Mytilus edulis: one gene and its partner. The protein of the gene in region 2 interacts with the protein of the main gene of each other region in a pairwise test. Links are inferred from orthologs where the notes say so. Each region holds a gene or a part of one and is shown on either strand. Other genes may lie near its edges.

Region 1 (7,993 bases), on a different chromosome or scaffold from region 2:
GTGGTAAATCCGTTTTTAGCCTTGATCACTATCCATAGACATTTTCTGTTTATTTTATTATAACTTTCCACAAATTCAACCATTCAAAACATGTAAATTTGAAGGAAAGCAAAGTGACACATTATGTCACATAATCATGACAATCAATTTTAACTGATACATTGTCATGATTGTAGGTGCTATAGAAGAAAAAATCAAGATTGATACATTTTCAAAATAGAAAAGCTTTCTGCCACTAGTTGCCATAAGTTTAATCATTGTTTTCAGTATCAAAAAATGTGTCAGAGAAAAATTTCAACTAACATGTTATATTGAAAACACTTATATGAACCAAGAAGAAAACACACATTTATGCACCAAGTAAAAAATAAATGATAGTGTATTTGCTATAAAATGTAAGAACATCATACCTGAACTATAACATCGGTAGTTCTGGACCAATCTGTGAACCTGTAAAAGCTGCTGCACATCTTTGGTTGTGTTGCTACAAAACAGACAAAAAATATGGAAAAAGTAAAAATATGAAGAAGCAAATTATTTTTTTATGTTGGTTTATCATCAGCAAGAATTTTCCTTCAATTATTTTTGTTTATGCGAAAATAAAATAGTGTGTAGTTCCAGTTACATCTGGTAACATAAACAAAAATAATTTCCAAATTAAATTAATATAGATACACCAAGTTTTACTACTTTCATGGCACTACCATATCAGCTGTTTATTTTAAATGTCTATAAATAGCCAGAAATAGTTGTCTGTTACTTAGGTGTTTTCCAAAGTATTTTTCCCGCCTAAAATGATCATGTGACATGTTTGTAAACAAAAGACAACATTTCATCAAGGAATTCATTTATTTTCTGGATTATTCTGCTTTTAATAATTTAGTTTGGATTTTTATTCATTTCATTTAAGGTACAGTCAAGCATTTGTATTTAAAAATAGTTTGCAAAGAATTTTTACTTTTCACTTTGACAAATGTCTCATGATCGACATTCATTGGCTTGTTCAACCATGCAAACAATGTATATTATGTAAATTAGATATCTATCAGCTGTCAAAAATATTGATCTAAGCAATCGATGTTTTGAAATCGTTTTCCGGTTTAGTTTCTTGTCAAAACAATGTCATATCATAATCTTCTAGGCAAAACGATGTTTCTGGGACTTGGGGGATACAATCAGGACGCGTGATTAGTATCTGTATTCACTTTTCAATCTATTGCAGTTTGCTAATCAGCTGATTACGAAATCGATTACAAAATGGCGTCCTAGTGAACTTTTGTTTACGTTTGAAGGGAAATAACTCGAGCGGTATTCATAAAATATGTCTTTCAGTACCGTAAAGGTATGGCGTCAGGAATTTCGACAAAACTAGGGCAGGGCGCCAAATTTTTTTCCCAAAAAGGGCAGGGCGTCGAGAAATCGCGGCAGGGCGCCATTACACACCAAAACCACCTGTAGGAAACACTATCTTAATTTCTCATAATAGTTAATTGTCCTGCATTTCATCAAGGATTTGTATAGTAAGATTTCATTAAAAAGTAAACTGAGACTAATTCAAATAAAATTGAGAATGGAAATGGGTAATGTGCCAAAGAGACATCCCAACCAGTCAGCCTGGATATTGTTTTAATAATGACTTCATGGTTCAGCAAGCAAGCAAACCAAAGATATTACCTCTATCTACACACTCAATGAAATGGTCTGTAAAGTGATTTTTACTCAAGGTCTAAAGGTAATTCTCAGAAATATCTTGCATCGTTTGGAGAAAAATAAATTCAGCTAAATACTAACCATCTATATATATAGCTAACAGTGCAATTAAGTCTTTTATGGTCATATGTTCTTGTTTCATAAATCATGATCAGGTTTTAAAATATCCATCACGCCTGGGAACAGTATATTTAACAGGAAATGAATAAAATAGGCTTTTTAGAATAAAATATTGATGAAATCTCTGACTCCATGAGACTTAACGAGATTTATGGATTATATATACATGTATGTGTCTAACTGAAAACTACAAATGTATCTGAACTGCTCAATGAACATGATGAATCTACCTAATTCTAATCGTAAATAAATACAAGTTTTTTTTCATAAAGTTGATATATTTTGTCATATAAAATGACCAAAAAATCTGATTAATATTTGTGGAAAGTATTTATAATGTTATTCAATTTCAACACCATTTTTTTATTTTTTGCATTCTGTACCATTTTGCATGTTCAGAGATAAGTTACAAGTTTGATACACTGGCATCACTTTAAAACTAGTTTGAAGACATTTTATTAATATCTTGTCAATAAATATGTTACTGATCACGCTGACGCTGTGTCAATGTCAATATACACCTTATCACTATTTGTCCACCATTACTGGATATCACACGGGTTTCCTTTAAATTTTGAGGTCATAATACAAAATATCTGACGACACAATGGAAAAGTGATTGTTGTATGCATCAAAAGTTCAAGGGGCCAGGTCAGACAGGATATAAGCATTGTAAATGTTATTGTGTCAATGTGATGCTCTTTTATGCAGGACCTTCATGACCTTGTATGTATTTTTTTTAATAATGACAGACAAATTTGTGTACAACCGTAAACAAGTTTATACAATTGTCATAAGAGTCAAAATCCTTTTCAAGAGAAGATAAATAATTATTCTAGTGGAACCAGCTTTTGACGACACTGTAGTGCGCACATCAAGCGTAGAAACTTTAAATCTGCTCTCACGCCCCGTCAATAAATCGGCAGCGCTCTCATACCGTTATATGAAAGCCAGTATTGGTATCGACAACGTACTCATACAGATAATAAAATAATATAACAGATCATCAGATTTCATCATGAAAGCCGAATGTGAAACATTTCTTGTCTGTACCTTGATTTTAAATAAAACTGATTATTTTTGGTAGCAAGTGTTCTTAGATTGTTGCTGTGTTTTCTTTGTAGTCTAAGCAATACACGTGCAAGTCGTGTTGGACGAAACATTTTGAAATTTGTTGTCTGCAACTTGTTGTCCAATGTCAGCAGCAATGTCACAGGTAGTTTCGTACATATTATTTGATTATTTGTTTCCGTTTTGTTTTCAAATAGATCAATTATAAATTTAGAATGAAATTAAGGGTTTAAAATGAGAAATTATTATATTTTTCTGTGAGTTTGCATATATATCCGAAACTAATTTTAAGTTTAATATCTCGCGTGAGTTCATTTCCATGGTGTTTTGTTTACAAATGTCTGCCTCCATCTATTAGTTCACAGATTTTATAATTTACTATTCAACAGATTACCTGACACAGACATGCCTGCAGGTATAACATTGACCATAGGAAAAGAATTTTTTTTTTTTATTGTTTTTAAAAATTGAAATGTAAAATGACCATAAATTGATAATGGGGGTCTCATTGACATTGGGGAAAAGGGGAGGGGGATCGGAGACTGATCCAAGATCGCCCTTATATTGTTTTATGACAATCCTGTATCCTGCTAGTTGCCATAATATGAGGCAGGCATAACCTATAAAAGGTTGAAGTCTGTATGTAATATTTTACTAGACTTATAGATATATAATTTAGTGTGTACATCCATTGTGATTTTTGTGGTCCCCATGTTCGATGTACATACACATTTTTAAATGATCTTTATGAACTTAACTGCTTTCTGTAAATCATTTTTAAGTTAATATGAGGCAGGCATTACCTGTGAACATGGTGAATGGGGACGAAGTCTGTATTATTATTTTTTTTAATTCAAACATGTTGATAAAAGAAATGGAAATACAGTAACGTTTCCGATATTGGTTCTGTTGGTAGGTATTTAGTTGTGACGTTATTTAAGTTATGACGTCATATTCAATGTAAACAAACAAACGCTGTTATAATAAAAGGTAACGTCTTTTTGATATCAAACAATTATTAAAAATGATTAAGTGTTAAATTCCTTCCTATATTTGTTGATATGTTGAAGGACGCCTCCGGGTGCGGGAATTTCTCGCTACATTGAAGACCTGTTGGTGACCCTCTGCTGTTGTTTTTTATTTGGTCGGGTTGTTGTCTCTTTGACACATTCCCCATTTCCATTCTCAATTTTATGATACATGTAAATATACATTTTTTTCAAAGTCTCATGCAAACAAGACCGGAAACGGATGTAGATCTGAAAAAAAAGTTAACGATTTTGAGTTCATTAGTAGAATGAAAAATTCAGGACATTTTCTCGATTTTTTTTTTTTTTTTTTTTTATTGATTTTTCTACCGTAATTGGGGACTTCGTCCCCATATAAAATACATAGATAATATATTATTATTTAATAATCAATGTTTAAAAGTCACCAATATGTGCTAATATTAAAATTTCAAGTGTTATTCAGTCATTACAAGTGTTATTCCGATAATAACAGTGTTATTCGGTCATTCGTGTTACCCTATATTTTACTATATACATGTATATATATTCTCATGACAAACAAGACCGAAAGAAGGAAGTAGATTTCTGCGCAGATGCAGGAAAATAAAAAAGTCTGATTTTTTAAAACAAATTTGAGTAAATAAATAGAATGATATTTTTGCGGGAATTTTTTTTAAATTTAAAATACAAGTTTTTTTTTCTATTATTTTCTTCTTTAATAGGGGGTCCCCTTTCTAGCTCATAAATGTAATTTCCTTTGTCATGCTGGACTTTGTTTCCTGTTTTTACACTTAATTATTTGACTTTCACATGTCATGCTTAAAAATAATCGACCAATCTTGTGTAAAAAAAGTCAGAAATATGACAGTTGTTGTCCATTTGTTTGATGTGTTTTATCATTTGATTTTGCCGTTTGATTTAAGGATTAGGGACTTTCCATTTTGAATTTTCCTCAGAGTTCATTATTTTTGTGATTTTACTTTTTATTTCTTAAAATATTGATCATGTTGATACAAAGCAAAATGTTTCTAAAAAGAATTAGAGACATCAAAAGACCATTCAATTTATAGCTCCTATTTTTAAATGAGTTCTTCTATTTAATGTACACAAAACATAAGGTGACTTTTTCTGAGCAAAAGAGGAATCAAATTACGTCTATTATGCTAATGTAACTTATTAACTATTTTATAAGAAATAAACAAATTGTAAAACCCTTAATTATTAAGTATATTTATATTTAAATTCAAGGGAGTTGTGATAATAAACTGTTAGTTTACAGAACTCTGTGTACATTTTAACATCAATGATCTTCACATCTCATTTGCGTGGTGTTATAATTACCATAACTTATAATATTGTAATGAATCACATTGTGTTTTTTATTGTAGCAGCAATTAGTTCTGTTATACTGCTCACATAATTGATAACTCTTTTAATTTAAAATCTATAAAACTCTTAAGCACAATATATTATCAATTAAAATGACTACTACATTTCCTCAGCTAATATTACATGTATTAACTTCATTTGTTTATCATTTTAAAATCACATTTTATATTTAATTCAACTTCTTAACTGAAATATATTCAAACTTAAACATCTAGATCTTACACAAAGACTTTGTATTTGTAGAAATATATTGTCAACTATTAAATTAGTGAAATGTTTCAACCATACCATTGAATTTAAGAAACTTTTGAGACTACTGTAAACCAACTTATTTTCGCGGATACTTTTTTTCGCGTTTTACCCTTTCATGACCACTTCGCAGCTATTTAATTTCGCGATTTTCTAATTGACTTGATGAAGTTTAAAAAGGAATTATCCAAGCTTTCCATATTCACTACGATTTAAATTCGCGTTATTTTTTTACTCGCGAAAGTCGCGAAAATAAGTTGGTTTACAGTATTGCCTGCATCAATTGTTTTTCAATACAACACATATAAGTTTTAATTTGATGAAAGTTTTCACTTTTTTTATAATTCATTTTGTCCACTGTCATTTACTTGGCCCATTATACTCTATAACCATCAATTGGATTTATGTTTTACTTTGTTTTTATACATTAAGGTTAACATAAAAATGATAGCTTAAAAATTTAGAGCCAAGTATTAAAATGAAAAAAGAAATATATAGCCTACAGCATGTGCAGTGAAGCAATTAAAGATAAAAAAAAATCCATCGATGTTAAATTTAAGTTATTCACTTGCTTAATTTCTTTTATTAAATTTTCTGAGAAAACACTTATCATAAGAACAACAAAAAGGTTTTATTTGTAAAAAAGTTTAGGAGATGATGTACATGTATGGTATGAGACATATATGCACCGAAGTTCAAATGAAGTGGATGTAACCAATTAAAGGCTACCATACAGCCTATAACATTGAAAAAAACCATATTGTAAAGTCTGCTATAAAAGGACCTGAAATGAAAAAATATGAAACAATTCAATTGAGAAAAGTAATGGCCTATTTATAACAAAACAATTTATGAAAAACAAATATGACAGACATGAATCAATGACCACCACTACAGTCTTCATGCTGAGTGGCAACCCAGGCAGCCTAGGCTTGTAAAATTGCTCTCGGGCCTGTAAAAATCATATCCTCAGGCCAACAGAATCTAACTAAAAATTTTCAAAAATTGAGCTCTGGGCCTGTAGATCTAGCAGTTCATCGTGAAGACTGCCACTAAACTACAGGTTCTTTGGACAGGGACATAAAGAATGTGGAGGGGTTGAACATATCTGTTGGTGCTTAGCCCCCCTCTAAACTGGGACAGTGATGAAAGAGCACAACAAAAGAAGAAACTGTAACATTCAGTTCAATGAACAAGATTGAAACTTTTCACCATGATTGTCTCTTGGTAAAGAAGTAAAAACAAATCTTAAATTTTAAAAATATTTCAGAAAATCAAATAGTTGAAGGTAATTTGTCGTGTTTGTGTGAATCTAAATATGAATAAAAATGTTGTTGTAAAATGTGTTTTATTGTTGTGAAACTACTTCTCAGAAATTATTTAAAATGAAATTGTATTCTTATTTTTTGCATTGTTTTCACATTGCATTTGAAAACCACAGTAAAATTCTGTATCCACCTGTTTGACATGACGTAATTTCATAGAAGTAGTTTCCAGCAACTCAAATCAACTAACACTATATGTGAATGTTTGTGATTAAAGCTTTTTGTATTACATTTTAAAGACATAACCAAACAATAAAAAAAACAAACAAAATAAATATTGCTGAAACAAGCCATTTTTGCTCTGCCTTAATATGAGTATTGTTTTCCAGTATTTATTTCAAGAATCTGAAACAGTCTGAGGAAATTTACCATTTGATTAAACCAAGCTGTAATTTGTGTTTTTATATAAGATGTATGGTGGTTGGTGGATGTCCAATTGGTCTTGATTTATGTATCAAATTAAAGATTATGTTTCATATGTATTGTGTGTATGCACTATGACTTTGAAATAGAAAATAATAGCATAGGCAGATTCAGGAGGGGGGGGCTTTCATGGAAAAAATTTGATATTTGATTATATAGGGAATCACTGAAGCATGACTGGAGCAGGCCCCCGCTTATGAAAAGTTCTGGATCCATCCGCCACTGAAAAGCCCTTTTTAAACATATTTAAATAAATTGAGAGCAATATTTCTTTTAAAGTTTACTCCAATAATTATCAGTACATTGTAAAGATTAACAAAGACAAACTACATATCGTCGCTGTTATGCAAAAACCTCGTATCTCAATTTTTTGCGGAAATCTTTTTATCGAAGATTTAGAATTAAATATGTATGTTCCACTGTATGCGAGAATATCTGATCTTCTAACCAATCATTAACCCGAATTCTGACATGTGACGAAATAGTGTAGTCGGATTGGTGAGACATTTTGTTGTGTGAAAATATCGTATCTCAAAAGAAAAACACTTTGCACAGCAGCTGACATTATTACAGTTACAGTTTTATCAATTTTAGGTTCTCAAAGCTAATATATTAGCTTAAAAATAATGAAAATACAATATAGGTGCAGAAATTTTGCTCGTCTTGGTAATTGATTGGTTAGAAGATCAGATATTT
Region 2 (7,845 bases):
ATAGTTGTTGTACATTCGTATGGTGTGTAGCAGTGTTTGAGAATTTGATTTTGCTATTTGACTATGGACTTCAATTTCCAATTTTCCTCGAGCAGAGATCAGTTTTTATGTTATTTTAACTTTTACAAAGCTGTGCATAAATGAGTAATAATGAAAGACCTGACAAATCAAAGCAATGATTTGAGTTGCTAGAACTATATAAATTAAATACATTACTTGTACATGATGATTTACATGTACGGTATATATATATATTTTGAAAAATCTTCATCATGTTCTTGTACTTACGTTGTCGTGTTTAAAGTGACAAAGCATTCTCAGTTCACGGAATACTCTCTTGGAGGAGACTAAATTCTGGAACACACTTGGCATTTTCTTCAGGGCCACTCGCTTTCCATCTCTTGGGTCCGTCACTGACCTATAAATAGATTAAACTTTCAATTATGGTGGACCAAATTATAAAATTTATGAATGGTTTCAAATTTGTGATCTTTCATAGCTGACTTTGTTGTGCATGTTTTGCTCGTTTTGGAAGAGATTATAATTATTTACATCCACATCATACGAACTTATGAATAGTAGACTGAAAGTCACCAGCAATCATACAATTATTTTTTTCATACAAACTTTATGTGTCATAATTTTCAGGAATTGCAAAGCGAATTATAAATCTTTTGTATGAGATGAAGAATAAATGTCAAAAAGACAGCAACCATACAACACAGTCATGTGAATCAATTCTGTACAACAAACAACCAACTGTTTATACTTTTTTCACCCGTATCAACTACAAATTTCAATATTGATATCGATGTCTTTTAAAATCAAAACTATATAAAAAGTATCTATCTTTTTTAAGTACATTTTGAGATCATGTTAAAATTTGACATGAAATTTTTGTGGTCATTTACCTCGGTGTCATTAACTTCTATGAATAAAATGTAAATGACTTTTTTGACCTGTTAAAAGTTGTCAATGATCACTATGGACAGTCACCTAGAACTAATGTCTTTTCATCACAAGTTCAACATTTTAACATCAAGGTTTCTGTGCATTTAAATTGTCTTTACGTATACAACGCAACAAAATTCAGATATAAAATATTCTTCTTGTAACATGTAATATATCAATTTAAGACTTAAGATAGGGTTAAGAGTTGACTTGAAAACTTAATTGATTAATCGTAAAATCAGATTGCATGTTCTGATTTGATTTTTGAATAAAAATTTCATAAACAAATAATGTAGGAATGTGGTACATGTACATGTAGCACAATTTTCTTGAGTAATACTTGTGCATGTCACACATAATAAACATGTAGTATTACCCATAACTATACAAATGCATCAATATATACTTACAAATGGGTATTTTATATGTAGTTTAAGACAATTTCCAATTTACAGAAAGGAAGTTGGCATGAGGTCTCGTTTAAAAAAGATTTTCGTTTTACTTTTTCAAGTATTGTATCTGACAGCTGGGGTTGTTAAAAATAATGCTTCAAATTAACATATTCTTTTAAAACGATCGTTTTTTTGTTTGCTTCTTTTTGGATTGTATATAGTTTAAAGTGACCACATTCATGACAATGTATCTTGAATACCCTTTTGTTTATTTTCATTTGTTTACATTGAACATGTTGAACATCCTATAAAATATAAGTATATGTTTAACTTCTGTGTGAGCTGGATGGGATTTTTTTCTTTTTAAAACTGATAGATATATAAGGTTAACAATTGGACCACAACTGTGAACTGAAACCTGGAATTTTTTTTTCCAAGATGTTTTGATATTTTTTTTGTGAAACTATTATTGTTTACAAAAAGCTAAAAGTTGACTGTGGATCATACTTAACTATTTTTAATGACCAACATATCTTTAATTCATAACAAAAACAAATTCTCTAAGTTCATGTCTACTAATCAAATATAAAGTCACATCAAATGAAATGAATTCCAAAATATATTTCACCTGTCCGTACAAGATAATTTCATATAAATTTTAATTTGTATCTTATACCGTTTTTCTATTAAGTTTAATTGATAACAATTATCTATCAATCCAGTTAAATTATGAATGGAATGCTTTATTTGTAAAAAGGTAAATTGTGTTCACATTGTCACGAACAATCAGCTGATTTTGTGACAATGTCACAAAGAAATTACTTCAAGAACAAAGAAGTTGAAACGAAGATGAGGCAATGAACGGTACCCGTTTCTTTTTTATTTTGACTAATTGAATAATATGAAAATGAACATTTTATTATTATTTCTTTGTTTAAAATATTCTATGAACAGACTTGCACGAGACGAACAAAGAAATATACACTCACCATACAACACCAAAAGCCCCATAACCGATTGGCCGGTCGGGTTGTACGTCTTGAGGAGGAACAACCTGAAAGTATGGGACAGCTACTGCTGCTGTGAGGATTGCATGCTGAGATGGAGCGGGTGGTGCCCCTCCTTGAAAAGCCATGATATGCCTCGCGTGTCTATGTCCAACCACTGCCATTACAACCCCACGAACACTGCCTGCACGAAAAAAACGCTTGGAATGCTCAAATTTCACTGTTGCATTTCTAAGTCCGATACATCCACACTCACTAATGACTCTCCGAATTAACTGGAGAGTTTGGTGTTGAAATCTTATATAAATTTACCAAAACATAAAGATAATTTCGTGTTATTTGGTGACAGGGTTCTGACTCACACGCGAGTACGGCACACAAAGAAATCACGTGACAACGCTTCAATCTTTCCCAAAATGCAATGTTGTCTGTTGTAGGTCACGAAAAGAAAAGTAAAATTTAATTAATCTTTTTCAATTATCCACTAGCGAAACATCTAGGAATCAATGAAAAATGTTAAGATAGTTGTTATCAAAATCTCAAAATAATACAATCCATTTAAGACTCATACTTTCTTAAAATGTCCGGTAACTGAAGAAGGACTTCAACAATATGTCAAACCGAAAGCACGTGTTTGTGAAAGACACGCCCACTAATTATTTCTTTTTACGGAAGTGATCATCATGACGACAAAGGACTGATGTAGACTGTGGAAGCCTTGTTTTCTTTATTCATGTTTTGATCACGTCATAAAAATCTCATCCTACGAATATATATACACGTAATCCGAATAAGGATAATTTCAATTACACAAATGTTGAAAAACACTGGGAAAATAACAATGTTCTTATGACATGGAGTATAATTGGTTAATTAGGATTTACTTATTGATAATTATCTGTTTATTGTTTAATTGGACAATTGTTCATGTATTTGTCGAATTGAACTATCATGAAGCTCAATTGATGGATTTGTACAAATTAAAATATTTAATAAAACTTTATTGAATGGAAAAAAAAGACAAAAATTAATAAAGACAAAATTATTATTTTTTTTGATACATTTATGTTTGCAAAAAATCCATCCTTTGAAAAATTAATGAAAGAATAATTTCTAAACTTTGTAGAATTTTTTATTTTTCTAATAAAAAAAATTATAAAACTGAACTTCAAGGAGATTAAAATTGTTTTTCAATAGTATGATTGAGAAATTAAATATGAACTTAATTCATTTTTTTAAGATAGCCTTAAGCACTATGATTTTTTTCTTACATTCCAATTGTTGTTTGAACTTCAAAAGAGGTAGAAAAGGAAGGAAAAATTCTTCATTTTTAGACTTTTAAACAGACTTACAAAATTTGAGATAGGGGGGGAGGGGGTAGGGCTTTGGCATAAGTTATTATTAAACTATATTAAATACATGGGAATGTGTAAATAAAAACAAAATATATGTGTATATAAATATCAAGTCAGTAATCATAATTATTTTCCAGGTGATGGGTCATGCATGTAAGGGAAAACATCCTCCTTTTTTTCATGATTTTTAACGAAGTTTTTTTGGGGCAGAATTAACAGGGATTGGGAAAAATAAAAAAAAAAATGTTCAGATGTAAGATGTGATACTAGTCTATGAATTTCAAGAATGATTTTACGAAAATTGTAAATTTATTATTTTTTTTATTATTTTTTTCATGTTGCAAATTGTATCCATTTTGAAAAGTTGTTGAATTATCTTGTGGAAAGATGGTTACAACTAATGAACTTATAGATCCATGTAGATGTGGAATAATTGATCAGATAAAATTAGATTTCATTGATATTTTTAGATTGATTTAAAGATAGGGCATCTACTGAGTGATCAATGTAGCATCATTATATATAACAGATCATTGATTCTTGGAGAGCCTTATGTAATGTGGAGTTTAGACAGAAGATTATTGCCTTAAAACTGGTATGTATAGTTTTAATTGTAAGTGGAAGATATGTAACACAAATTTAACATTTAATGTGTGTACAACAGACATGTAGGTGGCTACTCAGAAAAGCGGGGAAATCAGAAATCACCAAAGAGGACCAATACATACAGTTCAAAGCTAAGTGAACAGCACTAGCAAGTAGCAAATGAATATCATGTCAAGCACTAAAAAAACGTTTTGTAAGAATTGGACCTGTAGATATTGTTCCATTTTCGCGTTTTTAAACTCTGATAATCTATCAGCATCATGATAATCACACTGACACACACAGTCACGCAAGAGGAACCAGTTTATTGACCACTACTGTAATACTTTTAATTAGAGAAGGAAAGAAAATACTAGTTCAGTCACAAATAGATATAGAAAGATGTGGTGTGAGTGCCAATGAGACAACTCTCCATCCAAATAACAATTTCAAAAAAGTAAACCATTATAGGTCAATATATGACCTAAATGTTCACTTTGACTTTTTTCACACACGTCACTGGGTATATATCTTAGATTGAAATCAATGGAAGAGAAACTACTCAAAAATTACAAACGATCGTAGGTAAAATATGGATCTGATTCCCACAGAGTATATACTTCTCACAACAGCTGACTATCAAAAGATAAATAAAAAATACAATTAGAACAATACAAGAAAAGCACTGAGGTCTAGGATAAAAGTATGATAGATATCAAAAACTCAACAACAAAAAATGCTTTAATAAAGAAAAACACACTTTAATGTTAAATAATACTGTTATCACATAATACTTGCAATAACTGAAAGCAAGCTTATAAGAACTTAAACCTGTTAATGTAAAACCATTCTATAGATCACTTTCTCACAGATGTGAAAGCATGCCATCCTAATTTTTTTTATAGATTGCTACTAAGAAAAAAACATTCTCAGAGATTTTGGGTTGACCTTTACCTAATATTTATGTTGGAGCATTTGATGTGACTTGTTCACTAAAGCTATGTTGCAGGGTGTTTCAAGGCAAGATGTTTCTGGGAGGAGTGTCTCCAATTACCTATGTCATCAATCAATAGAACAACACTTTTTTTTTTTACAAATACATGTATTGATCTAAAGACCGTATCACATTTATAACAGTTGTGAGAGACTTAAATATATATATGCAGCCTTCTGAAGCCTGCTCCTGGGTGTAATATTTTCTTGCTGCATTTAGACCCATTGTTGGCCATGAGCTGTTTTCTGTTGTCATCTCTTTCACACATTCCCCCTTTTCCATTCTCTATTCTATTTGTTTATAAAATAGTATTTTCTACAGAAGAAAACAAATCTTAACTGCAGTTGAAATTGATAAATAGAATGATATTCATCTTAAATTTATTTTTCTAAAATAAGGGAGACAATCTATATTGATCAAAAATCAAAATTGTTAAACATGATTTGTCTCCCATTGTATTGTAAAAATATATGAAATAGTTTAGATTAATAAAACAATTTATAGACATGTCCTTAAAATATGACAATGTATTTTTATAACTTACAATGTTTCATCCTGACTTTTAATGTAATATTTGTAATAATAACAGCCATCTCAAAATACTCAGAACTAAGGTTACTAAAATTTGATTGGATGTTTTTAATTTAATTGAAAAAGATTGAGATTGTAATGAGTGAGATATGTCATTGTCATACATCTGTGTCCATACACAAGATTTGTTCAATTATTCACTTATCAACATAAAAATGAAAGAAAACATATTTTTTAAAATTAGAGAAATGTGCTTTTATAGCATTTTAGTTATTTAAGATTATAAATATGTTTGGATTGTTAGCTCACCTGGCCAGAAGGGCCAAGTGAGCTTTTCCCATCACTTTGCGTCCCGCGTCCCACGTCGTTAACTTTTACAAAAATCTTCTCCTCTGAAACTACTGGGCCAAATTATTCCAAACTTGGCCACAATCATCACATGCATCAGTGGGGTATCTAGTTTAAAAATGTGTGGCATGACCCATGACAACCGAAACCACAATTTTCTTTCTTTGATTTGTGTTTACAAATATAAACCCTATTGTGGACAGTGTGTTACTTGACAGTTTTTCTATACCCCTTCTAAAGGTATTTCTCCATGTTTTATGCCTCAAATAGCAAGTATAGGGGGGGGGGGGATGAAATTACACTAAAAGAATTGGGTCATGATTGTTAATGAAGACAGAATTATGTTTTGTATTATAATAACCATCTTTATGGATTGTAAAAACAAATAATACGTAATGTCTATCTATATTGTATAATGTTATCTATATCAAAGTATTTTTAAAACATTATTTAAAGATTTAGATTATGTAATCCTAAAGAATTATATAAATACAATGTTATTTTCTTTAATTTTCTAGGCTGTAATTTAAAGGATTATGCAATCGATATTTTTACTTTATCAAGAGGGGAGGAGGGGCGCTGACTGACCTAAAGGGGGGCCTCTCTAGTCATGCTTCCATGATTCCCTATATAATCAACAAAATTTTCCCCACGAATGGGGGGGGGGGGCCTGGATTCGCCTATCGATGTGGTATGATTGCCTATGAGACAACTCTCCACAAAAGACCAAAATAACACATAAATCAACAACTATAGGTCACCGTAGGGCTTTTAACAATGAGCAAAGCCCATACCTTATATAAGTCGGCTATAAAAGGTCCCAAAATGACAATGTTAAACAATTCAAACGAGAAAACTAACGGCCTAATTTATGTATGTCTCTTGAAAATATAGAATAAGTGCAACACAGAGCACATTGGAACTCTGCTCTTTTATTTTGTTTTATAGAGCATTCAAATAAATCATTGTATTAATGAGCTAAAACAAATAATTAGTCACATTTGACAATATGTTTATAGTTAACAAATAATCGTTCAACATTATTTAACAATTTCGAAAAATTAAACTATGACTTATACTGGAGAAACATCTTAAGTTGTATCTCATAAAGTGCAGATTTTCACAAGACTGTTCTTTCAAGGGAGATTTTCAAATTAAAAGAGAACTGACCTCTGGATCCAGTGTCTCTCTGTTTTCAAATATCGATGTACATTTTATTTCATCTGTTTCTTATTTTGATGAAATTTAAATATACATTTGAAGGCAATATGATTGAGTATACTTTGCCCTATAAATAGTGAAATTAAATGATGCATTTATAATGAGTTTTAATATAAATGTTTAAAGCATGGGGCATCAACTGTTAAGTAAATGTATTTCTGGTTATATATCATTGAAAACCAAATACCATGTATATATTTTTATTAATGGATTTGATGGGTAGAGGTAAACTACATATTCAAGGGAAAGTTGCCACAATTTGCAGAATACTTTTTGTTTTCTGTTTTTAGTGTTGTTTTACATAGAAATACATTTGGTGTAGTCATGGTAGTCATGGCTTTTGAAGTGGAAAGTGAAAGAAATGCAACGATTTACCTATTAGTACATATAAAACAACAAGACATATTATATACTGGTCAGAAAATGAAATATATATATATATGAAGAACTTGTACAACATT

What was found.
Region 1: the proteins of serine/threonine-protein kinase NLK-like (region 2) and dihydrolipoyllysine-residue acetyltransferase component of pyruvate dehydrogenase complex-like interact in a two-hybrid assay, tested with the Caenorhabditis elegans proteins (2 studies listed by BioGRID, with this or other methods). The link is inferred for Mytilus edulis from reciprocal best matches to the Caenorhabditis elegans genes lit-1 and dlat-1.

The regions. Positions count from the first base shown.
Region 1 is NC_092355.1:10,360,360-10,368,352, forward strand, and holds the start of dihydrolipoyllysine-residue acetyltransferase component of pyruvate dehydrogenase complex-like, read right to left. Parts: upstream 3,054-7,993; 5' UTR 2,994-3,053; coding exon 2,884-2,993; intron 485-2,883; coding exon 411-484; intron 1-410. Other genes in the region: MORN repeat-containing protein 2-like, read left to right, coding at 3,307-3,316, 6,820-6,837. UniProt on the Caenorhabditis elegans protein: The pyruvate dehydrogenase complex catalyzes the overall conversion of pyruvate to acetyl-CoA and CO(2).
Region 2 is NC_092349.1:90,583,165-90,591,009, reverse strand, and holds the start of serine/threonine-protein kinase NLK-like, read right to left. Parts: upstream 3,052-7,845; 5' UTR 2,515-3,051; coding exon 2,333-2,514; intron 419-2,332; coding exon 289-418; intron 1-288. UniProt on the Caenorhabditis elegans protein: Has a role in the Wnt signaling pathway controlling the asymmetry of cell divisions during embryogenesis. Operates in the AB and EMS cell lineages influencing cell specification.